Ovis aries: one gene and its partner. Each later gene encodes a partner of the first gene's protein in a complex. Links are inferred from orthologs where the notes say so. Each region holds a gene or a part of one and is shown in the gene's direction. Other genes may lie near its edges.

Region 1 (5,548 bases):
CCAGGGACTGCAGCCTACCAGGCTTCTCCGTCCATGGGATTTTCCAGGCAAGAGTACTGGAGTGGGGTGCCATTGCCTTCTCCGTGAACAGAATGAGAATTTATTAAAAGCCTTGGTGAAGTGTGAGTTAATCTGGGGCTACACAGGGTACACCAGTAATACAGTTCCACTCAGTTGAGGACAGGGAGGGTGGAAGGTAAGTACAGGACTAAGTATTACGTGCCTGCCGTGAGCTTGGCACTGGGAATTCAGCAGTGAAGGAGGCCCAGACTAAAGTTCAAGGTGCCTCTAACCTAGAAAGGGATAGGATTTTGAGCTATGTGCTCAAAGGAGGTGAATTATGAGGACAAAGGTGGTGCTGAAGGGCCCTGGGGAGTTGGGCGGGATAAGATGATGGTTAAGTTTGATCAGAAAATTTAACAGCCTTGGTAGTCCAGTGGAATCCACCTTGCAATGCAAAGAACTTGGGTTCGATCCCTGGTTGGGAAACTTAAGATCCCACACCGCAACTGCAGAGTCCGTGCACCACAAGGAAAGATGCCAGATGATGCAACTAAGACCCAATGTAGCCAAATAAATAAAATATTTAAAAAGAAAATATGAGCAAAAGCAATGTGACTATGTTCTTTACCCCAGCAGATCTCTTAAATTTCCTTCCTGACAACCTGCTTTTTTGGGAAGACAATGCAGTGCCAGTAAGACTTGCTTGGCACTCCTCTTCCTCTGAACATCCGTTAAAAAATGCCCTTTCTGCTCAAAACTATTCCTTTTCTTTCCTCTGTGGGAGCCTGCATTTGCATCCTCCAGTCCTCAGTGCCTGCTATTATTCAGTCTGTCAGCAATGCCTACGGTATGATGGGCTCTTGGCTAGGTCCTGGGGCACCAGAAAGGACCCTCATTCTCAAGGGACCCGTGAACAAAATCCAGTGAACAGACCATGACAAAGCAGTGTGATCAGTGCCGCACCCCTGTGTGTGAACCCCAGAGTGCCAGCCCGAGGAATTGAGAGTGGCATCTCCTAGGCAATGACCCCACTAGAATCAAGTCTTACTGATTGGACAAGAGCTCTGTCACCCAAGGAGTTAGACCTGCCTTCAACTGAACAGCTGGTGCAAATCTCCAAGCCTGTGAGCCAGAACACCCTGGGATGACTCCACTTTATCCCCATCTCCTCCCTTCAGCCAGGATCCATTCACCACCCCTCCCCCAGCACTGGCTACATTGCTGCGCCACATTAAGACTTGGCCCCAGATGGAGGATGAGCGAGGAAGCTGTTGTGCCAATATGACTGACTGAAGCTGCCAAAGGTCCTAGAAGGAGGAAGTGGATAAGTGCCTTATTCTTTTAAGGATACAGCAGCCTCAGGTCTTATCAGGGGCCAGGAGCTTCCTCGCTCCTTCCCCCACTTCTGACCAAGTCACAGTGTGCCTTGGCAGTGCAGGGAACTGTGTGGGGGGAGGAGGACCTGTAGAACTGGGCTAGAGTGGAGGCGTGTTGCACTATCCCAAGCAGGAAGCAGTGGTGGTTTAGACTAGCATGGTGGTAGAAGAAATGGAATGAAGATTCAAGAGACATTGTTGAAGAGCAGAACCAGCAGGACTTGATAAAATACGTTCAAGAAAAGGGAAGAATTGGCTTTCAGCCATAAGCATCCACCCCCAGGGTAGACTTACCCTCTTCCCAACAACCCTAGAAACCATATGGCCCAGGACTCTGCCTACTAGTCAGCAAGTAGGTTTCAGCTTGATAAGAAAAGACTTCCTGCGGTGGAACTGAAAGGGGAAGCTGCTAACCCATTACTGCCTAGGAGGCTGTGGGAGAAGGAAGATGGCCAGAGCTCTGTGTCTACTTCGTGCCCTCTGGCTTCTGGAGTGGGTGCAGCTGCTCTTGGGACCTGGTGCTGTGCCTCCAACCTGGGCCTTGAACCTGGATTCAGTGCAGCTCACCATCTACACAGGCCCTAATGGCAGCCACTTTGGGTTTTCACTGGACTTCTACAAGAACAGCAATAGGAGGTGAGCCCTGGGAAACTCCCCCACCATCACTGCTTCTGTGGGTCTTGAGTTCCCCATTTGTGATAGAGGTTGAGCAAACTTATTTCCAGGGTCTATTTGGGCTGAGTTCTTGTTAGGAATACCAGGGTGTCAGCAAGAGGCACCAGTGGGGAGCTGAGCAGAGCAAAGACAAAGGGGAGACCGATGTTGATGCCTTATTTTTTCCTCAAGGGTCAGTTTTATGACCCACTCCACCCTCATCCCCTTGAAATACAGAAAGGAGCACATGTCTTAAGTTGACCTGCAGAACTGTGAAATTGTCTGTCTACTCCCACTTTGCTTTCTATTCCAATCCCCTCAACCCAGCAAAACGATTGATATTTGAAAAGAAGCAATAGAGCATTATTGGTTGGGATTCATCAGGCTGCAAATTCAGACTGCTAAAATTAGAGTCCTGGCTCTTTCTCTCTATAGCAACAACCCTGAGCTAGTTCCTTATTGAGATGGACACCAAGGTCCAGCTTCAGAGCATAACAATAGCAGATGAACTTTAAGTGTCAGCACCTTGGGGAGTTGCTTCTGCTGAAGAGGGCCACCTCCCTCAAAGCTCCCCCACTTCCAAATGTGGCCCAGGAACAATGACCAGTCAATGAGGAGTGTGGAGGGAGGGGAGAGGTTAACGGTCTGACTCTTTCAACTCCAGACAGTTCTGAGGGTCTTTCTCCCTCCAAAGTTCCCAGGACATTGACCCATGGCTGTTATTCAGTCCGAATCTCAACTCAATGTCCCCTGCCTGCTCCTGCTTCTTTCTCCTCCTTTTCATAGATACTGGTCTCATGGGCACTACTTAGTAAATATCCTGCAAACTAAAAAGAAAAACAAATTACAGCATTTTTGGAGCCCTCGTTATGTATTATTTGGCTGGCACTGGCATAAATGTTTTTCATGTGTTTATTTCATTTACTTCTGACAGCATTGATTGGTATTGTCCACCTTTTATATACAGTAGAGCTGTCATTTGAACCTAGATCTACTAGAGTCCTTAGAAATGTCAGCACCCCACCACCCACTTTACGGGTGCCCACTAGCTTAATATTTCCTGATTAAAACTGGTTCTCAGAAAGAGATCTGATGACAGTTTAGACAGGAACACGGTGCATGTAAACCCTTGGCTTTTCGTGGCAAGTGTTGGGGAATGTAGACGGTGTACAGAGTTTAGGAGATCTCTTTTAGCAAGGCTGTCAAACCCCTCGTGTTCAAATCGAACCTAATGGTTATATTCTGTTTCATCCTTAATTTCCTCGGTTACTGATGGGTATGTGACTTTCCTCGCTGGGAGTCAGTTTCAGTGGCCATAAAATGAAAAGATTGGCGTCTGTGGTCTGTGTCGTCTCACTGGGAAAAGATCCAGTGACCCTCAAGGCACACCGCCCTTCCGAGGAGTGCTCCCGGCACAGGCACTGGGGCACGGGGTACCCCAGAATCCACGGAGCTCTCACCCAGCTTTCTTATGCAGTGTGTCCATCGTGGTGGGCGCCCCACGGACCCTGGGCCGCAGCGAGGAGGAGACCGGCGGCATTTTCCTGTGCCCCTGGAAGGCCGAGGGTGGCCAGTGCATCTCGCTGCCCTTCAACCTCTGTGAGTCTCGCACAAGAAGAGAAAGGGAGGGGATACAAGGAGCGCGGACAGCCGGGCTTCAGCACCCTACTCTCTTCTTGTGCCCTCCAGATGATGAAACGCAAAGCATAGGCACCCAAACTTTCCAAACCTTCAAGGCCGGGCAAGGACTCGGGGCGTCGGTCGTTAGTTGGAGAGACAGCATTGTGGTGGGCGCTACCGGACCGGGATCAGGGAGCAGACGGAGGGCGGGGACACGTGGAGGGAGGAACCCGAGTCCCGCCCCTTCCCCACTCTCCTCTGGCTCTGCTTCAGGCCTGCGCCCCCTGGCAGCACTGGAACGTCCTAGATAGGAACGAGGAGGAGGCTCAGAAGACCCCCGTAGGTGGCTGCTTCGTGGCTCAGCTCCAAAACGGCGACCGCACAGAGTACTCGCCCTGCCGGGCCAACAAAATGAGCCAGTTTTACGAGAGAAATCATTTCAGTGAGCTCCTCTCTCCGTTTCGGCTCCGCCCACTCGCGGCCGTTATCCACTAGCCCCGCCCTTCACCCGATCATTCCCAAATCCTGCTTGCAGTCTGGGGTCTCCCAGATAGCCTAGTTCCTGACTCCACCCCCATATCCTGCCCACTGGATGTTGATAGTAGACCACGCCTCCGTATTACCCTGTGGCCCCGCCCCCGTTTGACTCCGCCTCCCGGCCCGGCGCCACTCGTCAGAGCAGGCTTCTTCGCTGACCCTTTCTTTTTGCCTTCTCTAGGAGAGGACAGGCGTTACTGCGAAGCCGGCTTCAGCTCGGTAGTCACTCAGGCGAGTAGGGAGCATAAACGGCGTGGGGGTTGCCCCCCAAACAGGGCCCTCTCTCACCTTCAGAGCTTCTATTTCAGGCTGGGGAGCTGGTGCTTGGGGCTCCTGGCGGCTACTATTTCGTAGGTACGTGCCCATCCGTACACCTCCCTCCCTTCTCTCGACCCGGGCACACTCCAGGCTCCTGGACGCCCATACTAACTGTCCCACGTGCCCTAGGTCTCTTGGCGCGGGCTCCAATCGCCGATATCATCTCGAGTTACCGCCCAGGCAACCTTTTGTGGCACGTGCGCACCCAGTTCACCTACGACCACAGTCACTTACAATACTACGACGGCTACCGGGGTAACGTGGCACTTCCCATCGAGGCTTCCCAGCACTCAAGCGTCACCGCCAGCCCTGTCCTACCCCTGTAGGAACGCCCCATTGTCAACTCTGGCTGGCCAGCCCCAGCACTAAGGCGCCCCCACTCTGCTCAGGCAGCTCCCTCTCCCTACCCTCTGCAGACAGCCCAGCTCCCAAAGGCGAGCATGTCGACTTCTCGAGCTGAATTCGCTTCGCGGCCTCGGGCAGGTCTTGACCTCTCGGTGGCCTCGATTTCCCCGTCTCCGCAATGCAGAGTTTGAACTGGGTGGTCTCTGAGTCCCCTCCGTTCTCACTCGGGCCCCTTCCCTGCTTCACCCTCCCTGAAGGACTAATTCTCACTGTGCCTTCAGGGTACTCGGTGGCCGTGGGCGACTTCGACGGAAATCCCAACACTACAGGCAAGAAATTCACTTAGGGGTGGGGTTTGGGGAGTCCCGCCCGGAAAGGAGCACTTCCAAGACCGGCATCTCCCTGGGATGCGGAACGGCGGGCAGGAGGCAGGTGGGGGTTCCAGAGACCTCACTTTCTGGTCCCGACTCTCCCCAGAGTATGTCTTCGGTGCCCCCACCTGGAGTTGGACCCTGGGAGCGGTGAGTGCCGTCTGTCCTCCCCTCACTCATTTCACTCTTCAGCCTGAACCGTGCCCGCCCCCGCCTCCAAACTTCCTGCCCTGTGACATGCTCCTGTACGTTTTCTGAGCAGGTGGAAATTTTGGACTCGTACCACCAGATGCTGCACCGGCTGCATGGAGAGCAGGTGAGGAT
Region 2 (5,759 bases), about 2.1 Mb from region 1:
ACAGTGGAGCCAGAAAACAGTGGGACAACATCTATAAAGTACTGAAAGAAAAAATAACCCTATTAACCTAAAAATCTCTATATAAGAAATATCATTAAAAATGAGAATGGAACAAATAAAAGTTGAGCATTTTACTTTTTAGTCACAAAGTCATGTCCAACTCTTCACAACCCCATGTGCTGGAGCCCACCAGGCCTCCTCTGTCCATGGGATTTCTGGCAAGAACACTGGAGTGGTAGCCATTTTCTTCTTCCGGGGATCCTCCCGACCCAGGGATCGAAACTGGGTCTCTTGAGTCTCCTGTGTTTACAGGTAGGTTCTTTACCTCTGAGCATATTTGTTGCCTTTAAAGTCTGCTAAAGATAGTTCTTCAGGCTGAAAGGATTGGAAACTTGGACAGCATATTTGCTGGACTGGTGTCCACCCCTAGTGGTTGGTACCAGCAGAGTTAGGCTGGGGAGACACCTAGGTGAATGGGAGATGGTTTATATACATGCTGCTGCTGCCGCTGCTGCTAAGTCACTTCAGTCGTGTCCGACTCTGTGCGACCCCACATACGGCAGCCCACCAGGCTCCCCCGTCCCTGGGATTCTCCAGGCAAGAACACTGGAGTGGGTTGCCATTTCCTTCTCCAATGCATGAAAGTGAAAAGTCAAAGTGAAGTGCTCAGTTGTGTCTGACTCTTCGCGACCCCATGGACTACAGTCTACCAGGCTCCTCCATCCATGGGATTTTCCAGGCAAGAGTACTGGAGTGGGGTGCCATTGTTACATACATGAGAATGAACCAAATAGGTAAACATCTAGGCAGAGATGAAACCTGTGTAATCTGGATTTTGATTCAGGGCAATGGCAACACTGTTAAAGTGGCTTCTGACCTAGAGGCCTTCCAGCATTTAGGAAAAGTGTATGAAGCTCAGGTCAGGAAGCCCAGCGACCCTTTGTGGGTGGCTCCTCCCCTGCCTCCTTGCAAATTACTAATGACACTTCTACTGATGTGTGCTCTTCTTTTTCCTAGTGTTTGGGAGGTCTGAGGAGGAAATGCCTATCTCTGCTGAGGCTGGGCAGAAGGAAGAGGGGTGGGGAATCAGACATGATTATATGGAAGAGGTGACATCTGAGATGTTTTGTAAGATTAAGTGGAATTTTCCAGGTGGAAAAAGGAAGTAAGATCAGTCAGACAGAAAGGCGAGGAGTGTTTGGGAGTGTTACATATCTTTTTGAGCTAGGATGGGAGATGAGGGTAGAGACCTGAGGCAGGGCCAGTTTCCAGGTATCTTGTGCATTTCAGGAGAGGGTTTAGGGAAGCCCAAAGACAGCCTGGAAGGCTTTGGAGGAGCCCAACAGCTGGAGAGACTCCAAATCCTGCCTGATGCCTCAGGGCTTTTTTTCTTTTCTTCGTTTTTTAAAATTTTGGGCTGCTCTGGCTCACAACTCTTTGTTGCTGAGTATGGCTATCCCAAGTTGCAGTTTTTGCAAGAGGGGGCTATTCTCTAGTTGCATTGTGTGGGCTTCTCATTGGTGGCTTCTCCTGTTGCAGAACCAATGCTCTAGGGCTCCAGGGCTCAGTCATTGCCGGATGCCAGCTTAGCTGCATGTGGGAACTTGGTTCCTGGACCAGAGAACCAGAGAACGAACCCAGGTCCCCTGCAATGGCAAGTGAAAGTGAGTCACTCAGTTGTGTCTGACTCTTTGAGACCCCATGGACTGTATAGTCCATGGAATGGGGACTATACAGTCCATGGAATTCTCCATGCCAGAATACTGGAGTGGGTAGCATTTCCCTTCTCCAGGGGATCTTCCTGACCCAGGGTTTGAACTCAGGTCTCCCACTTTGCAGGCAGATTCTATATCAGTTGAACCACCAGGGAAGCCCCTGCATTAGCAAGCAGATTCCTAACCACTGGACCCCCATAGAAGTCCTCAGGCCTTGTTTTTAATTATCCTTAGAGTTTCCTATTGAGGCAGCCTGCACCAGCCCCTATCTGTGGTGGCCTCCTGCTCATAGTCCTAGCAATGTCCCCTTTGAGCTTCCCGACGTTTCTAGTTTGTGGAGGACCCAGAGACCCATAAGTAGGAATTCAGGGAGGCAGGAGGCCTTTGAAGAGAATAAGATAAAGCTCCAAAGCCTATGAATTTGAGTGCAGTGCAGACTGTCTTGAAATGTTCATCAGGTGCTTACTCTGTGCAAGCATCTATTTGCAGAGAAAGGTCTTTTATGGACATCAAGTGCTTGCACAAGCTTGAGATGCGGTCTTGTCTTCAAGAGGCTTACTGTTTACTGGAAAACCAAACTAACCCAAGATAAATATTAGTGAATAATAAAAGACTAAACCGGTGCCTGGCACAGAGTAGGCGTTCAGCAGGTTTGCAATTAAATGAATGAACGTATCAATGACCAAAAGTCAGGGTACAGAGGGCAGGTGCCCGAGGAACTCTAGGGAAAGAGAAAGCCGTGTGGGTGTCTCCGAAGAGAGAGACCACAGGCTCCTGGCTTTTCTGAGCATACCAAGGGCCCGATGCGGACCCTGGGGCCAGGATGTCCTCGGAGGATGCGCCCTCGACCTCCCTGGGGTCCCAGTCTTGCCTCGCATACCCGCAAGGCGATCCTCGCGGGCTGAGTCGCAGCGGCAGAGAGGAGCGGCGGTTTCCCACTTCCCACCCTGCGGTGGAGGGTCCGCAGAAGGGCCGGAGGGGAGGGAGCGCCAGTCCACGGCCCGCCCCGTTGCGTCCCACCCACCGCGTCCCCTCCCCTCCGGCCCCGGGAAAAGCGGCCGCGGGCGCCGCCGCTCGCTGTGGGGCGGGAGGACGCTGCCGAGACGGAGCGCGGCGGCGGGCAGACGAGATGCGAGCGCGGCGGCTCTGGGCCGCGGTGCTGGTGGTGGGGGCGCTGGCGGGCGTCGGCGTCGGAGGTGAGTGGGGCTCCCGCGCGGTGGGGACCCAGGTCTCGGGTGAGCCGCGCCGCGCGTCCTGCCGCGGCCGAGTGTACAGAGCAGACGCGGAGCGGGGAAGCCGGTCGGGTGGGTCCTGCGCCTCTGCGCTCAGTGTGCGCGGGGCCAGGCTGGAGCCGTCGGAGCTGGGGACCTTCCGGGCTCCGCTGCGGCCGGGGCGAGCCACAACCTACGGGCGGGTCCACCGGGACACCCAACTAACTCTTAAGCCGAGTTAGGCGGCTGTCCCGGGCCATCTCCACGTGAGCGGCGCGGTGGGCGCATCTCTGAGCCCCGAGTTCAGTCCCGGCTGCGCGCCTCGCAGGTGGTCCCGGCCGTGCGAAGGCAGGGTGGCTTCCGGAGCCCGGGCGAGCTTCCCGGGGCTGTTCCCCCGCGTTTGCAGAGGGATGCGGTTGTCGCTTCTCAAATGAGAGCGTGTGCGCGCAGACTTACCAGTTACTCGACATTTCTCTTTCTCTTTGTGTACACTTTATCCCAAGTTTTTGTTTGTTTAGTTTTTATTTGGAGGCTCCCCGCGGGAGCGATTCGGAGGAGGACAAGAGCGCTACCTCCTACAGTGTCCCAGGGTGGGGGCAGTAGCCTCCGCTTCCGGGACAAACCCAGCATCCGAACACTCTCCACTGTGTGCGAACAACCACGCCAGGGGTCCCCGGAGCTGGCTTGGCTCCCTGGCTTTGTCTCTCTTGCTGCCGCACACGCACTATCAGCTGCCAGGGCACTTGGCATTCGGCCTCATTGGTGCTGGGAGGGGCACAGCCCAGGTTGCTGCCCGTGGTCTTTCTGGTACCCGGGTGACCCCCCCAGGGAGAACTCTCTCTTGGTCCACTGCGGCGTTTCTCTGCAGAGGACGCACAAGTGCGTCCGTGCGTATACCTACTTTTAGTGAAAAGAGTAGTACTCGTGGTAAGTAGTACTCCCTGAGGGCTCAGTTGGTAAAGAATCCGCCTGCAATGCGGGACACCCCAGTTCGATTCCTGGGTCTTGAAGATCCGCTGGAGAAGGGACAGGCTACCCACTCCAATTTTCTTGGGCTTCCCTGGTGGCTCAGCTGGTAAAGAATCTGCCTGCAATGTGGGAGACCTGGTTTCCATCCCTGGTTTGGGAAGGTCCCCTGGAGAAGGGAGAGGCTACCCACTCCAGTATTCTGACCTGGAGAATTCCATGGACTGTATAGTCCATGAGGTCGCAAAGAATCGGACAGGACTGAGTGACTTTCAATTTCACATTTTCATGGTAAGACAATTTAGATCCTACGGAAGATTAAGATTTATTGCTAAATCCATCAGGAAATACTCGATGACTTCCTTTAAGACTCTTGTATGCATAACAGATTGTCCAGGATAGGGCAACAATATCTTAAAAAAAAAAACACTTTATTGAGGTAGGATCCACATTTTAAAAGCTGTATATATTTAATGTATATGACTTGAATTTTGAGATAAGTATACACTCATGAGATCCTCACCATTTATAATCCACAATTTGATGAAGGAGTTACAGATAATACATAGGGGGCTGTTTAAGTTATTGCTGCAGAGGCTTCCCATGTAGTAGATGCTCAAAGAAGTCAACTGATGTCTTTAGCCTGCAGTGAGTGGCCTGATGACTATGGCCCAGAATTATGAATCTCCAGCATTCCACCCAGGGAGAGTTAGAGCCTTGGTTTGGATGCTGTCTGAATGGAGAAGTCTGGAGGCAACTAGGTGTTCTCCTGCAGCGATGCCTGCTTCCGTGAACTTAAAACATTTTTTACTTTCTTTTCACATCTACAGTTTTCTGAATTTCTGAATGATTTCTGAATTTAATCATTATGTATTTTTACAGTTTTAGAAGTAAGATAATATGAGATAGAGTCTAGCATGGTACTTGGTTCAGCTGGTGAAGATGAAGAGTGCATTTTTTATTTTGCTGTCTCTCTCTCCACCCCTCACTTCTAGTATACTTTTTGTTGATCTGGTTTACACAGTTGTAATGATCTGTATAGGATTCTACTGTGTTGACATACCTAAGTTTACATGAATTATTCTTTTGGGGATCTGTTCACAGGTTCATCATTGTGATTGGAGTGATTCCAGAGTGGTGATGGGCTGTGCTGAGCTAGCTAACCCCAGAGAACCATTGAGAGGCAGGGTAGAGTCGTATTTAAGAGTATGGGCTCGAGACTTCCCTGGTGGTCCAGTGGCTGACTTTGGGTTCCCATTGCAAGGGGCACAGGTTTGGTCCCTGGTCAGGGAACTAGATCCCACATGCTGCAATTAAGAGTTCACTTGCCATAACTAAAGATCCTGCATGCCTCAAGTGAGACCCAGTGCAGCCAAATAAATAAATTTAAAAAGAGGATGGGCTCTAAGCAACTTCCCTGATAGTCCAGGGGTTAAGATTCCATCCTTCCACTGCGAAGGGTTCTGGTTCGATTTCTGGTCTGGAAAATTTGCTGGTTGGGAAGTTCCCCATGCTGCGAGGTGTGTCCAAAAAACAACCCACAAAAACAACAACAACAAAAATAAAAATAAAAAACAAAGGACAAAAGATCATGGATTCTAGAGAAGACCTCCAAAGTAATAAACCCCCAGTAATAGTGGCTTCCTCCATGTCTCAGTGGGTAAATAATACACCTGCAATGCAGGAGACGAAGGAGATGCAGGTTTGGTCCCTGGATTGGGAAGATTCCCCTGGAGATGGAAATGGCAACCCACTCTAGTGTTCTTGCCTGAAAAATCCCATGGACAGAGGAGCCTGGCAGGCTACAGTCCAAAGGGTTGCAAAGAGTCAGACACGACTGAACGGAGCTGAGAGCAAAAGCAGTTTC

What was found.
Region 2: the proteins of ITGA2B (region 1) and ITGB3 are in contact, whole or in part, in a cryo-EM structure (PDB 8GCE), measured with the Homo sapiens proteins. The link is inferred for Ovis aries from reciprocal best matches to the Homo sapiens genes ITGA2B and ITGB3. Residues at the interface, in NP_000410.2 of Homo sapiens: Gln49, Phe52, Arg72, Trp141, His143, Asn145, Glu152, Ala153, Glu154, Lys155, Pro157, Arg184, Phe191, Tyr197, Glu199, Phe202, Pro217, Tyr221, Phe222, Phe262, Asp263, Tyr265, Tyr268, Thr290, Trp293, Thr294, Gln315, Met316, Ala317, Tyr319; in NP_000203.2 of Homo sapiens: Ser188, Pro189, Tyr190, Tyr192, Ile193, Ser194, Pro195, Pro196, Tyr204, Asp205, Met206, Arg242, Asp243, Pro245, Lys279, His281, Ile282, Ala283, Leu284, Asp285, Arg287, Leu288, Ala289, Gly290, Val292, Gln293, Pro294, Asn295, Asp314, Tyr315.

The regions. Positions count from the first base shown.
Region 1 is NC_056064.1:43,920,344-43,925,891, reverse strand, and holds the start of ITGA2B (integrin alpha-IIb), read left to right. Parts: upstream 1-1,795; 5' UTR 1,796-1,827; coding exon 1,828-2,015; intron 2,016-3,510; coding exon 3,511-3,632; intron 3,633-3,722; coding exon 3,723-3,820; intron 3,821-3,926; coding exon 3,927-4,095; intron 4,096-4,371; coding exon 4,372-4,421; intron 4,422-4,498; coding exon 4,499-4,544; intron 4,545-4,637; coding exon 4,638-4,763; intron 4,764-5,134; coding exon 5,135-5,182; intron 5,183-5,330; coding exon 5,331-5,374; intron 5,375-5,486; coding exon 5,487-5,540; intron 5,541-5,548. UniProt on the Homo sapiens protein: Integrin alpha-IIb/beta-3 is a receptor for fibronectin, fibrinogen, plasminogen, prothrombin, thrombospondin and vitronectin. It recognizes the sequence R-G-D in a wide array of ligands.
Region 2 is NC_056064.1:46,049,942-46,055,700, forward strand, and holds the start of ITGB3 (integrin beta-3), read left to right. Parts: upstream 1-2,420; 5' UTR 2,421-2,538; coding exon 2,539-2,911; intron 2,912-5,759. UniProt on the Homo sapiens protein: Integrin alpha-V/beta-3 (ITGAV:ITGB3) is a receptor for cytotactin, fibronectin, laminin, matrix metalloproteinase-2, osteopontin, osteomodulin, prothrombin, thrombospondin, vitronectin and von Willebrand factor.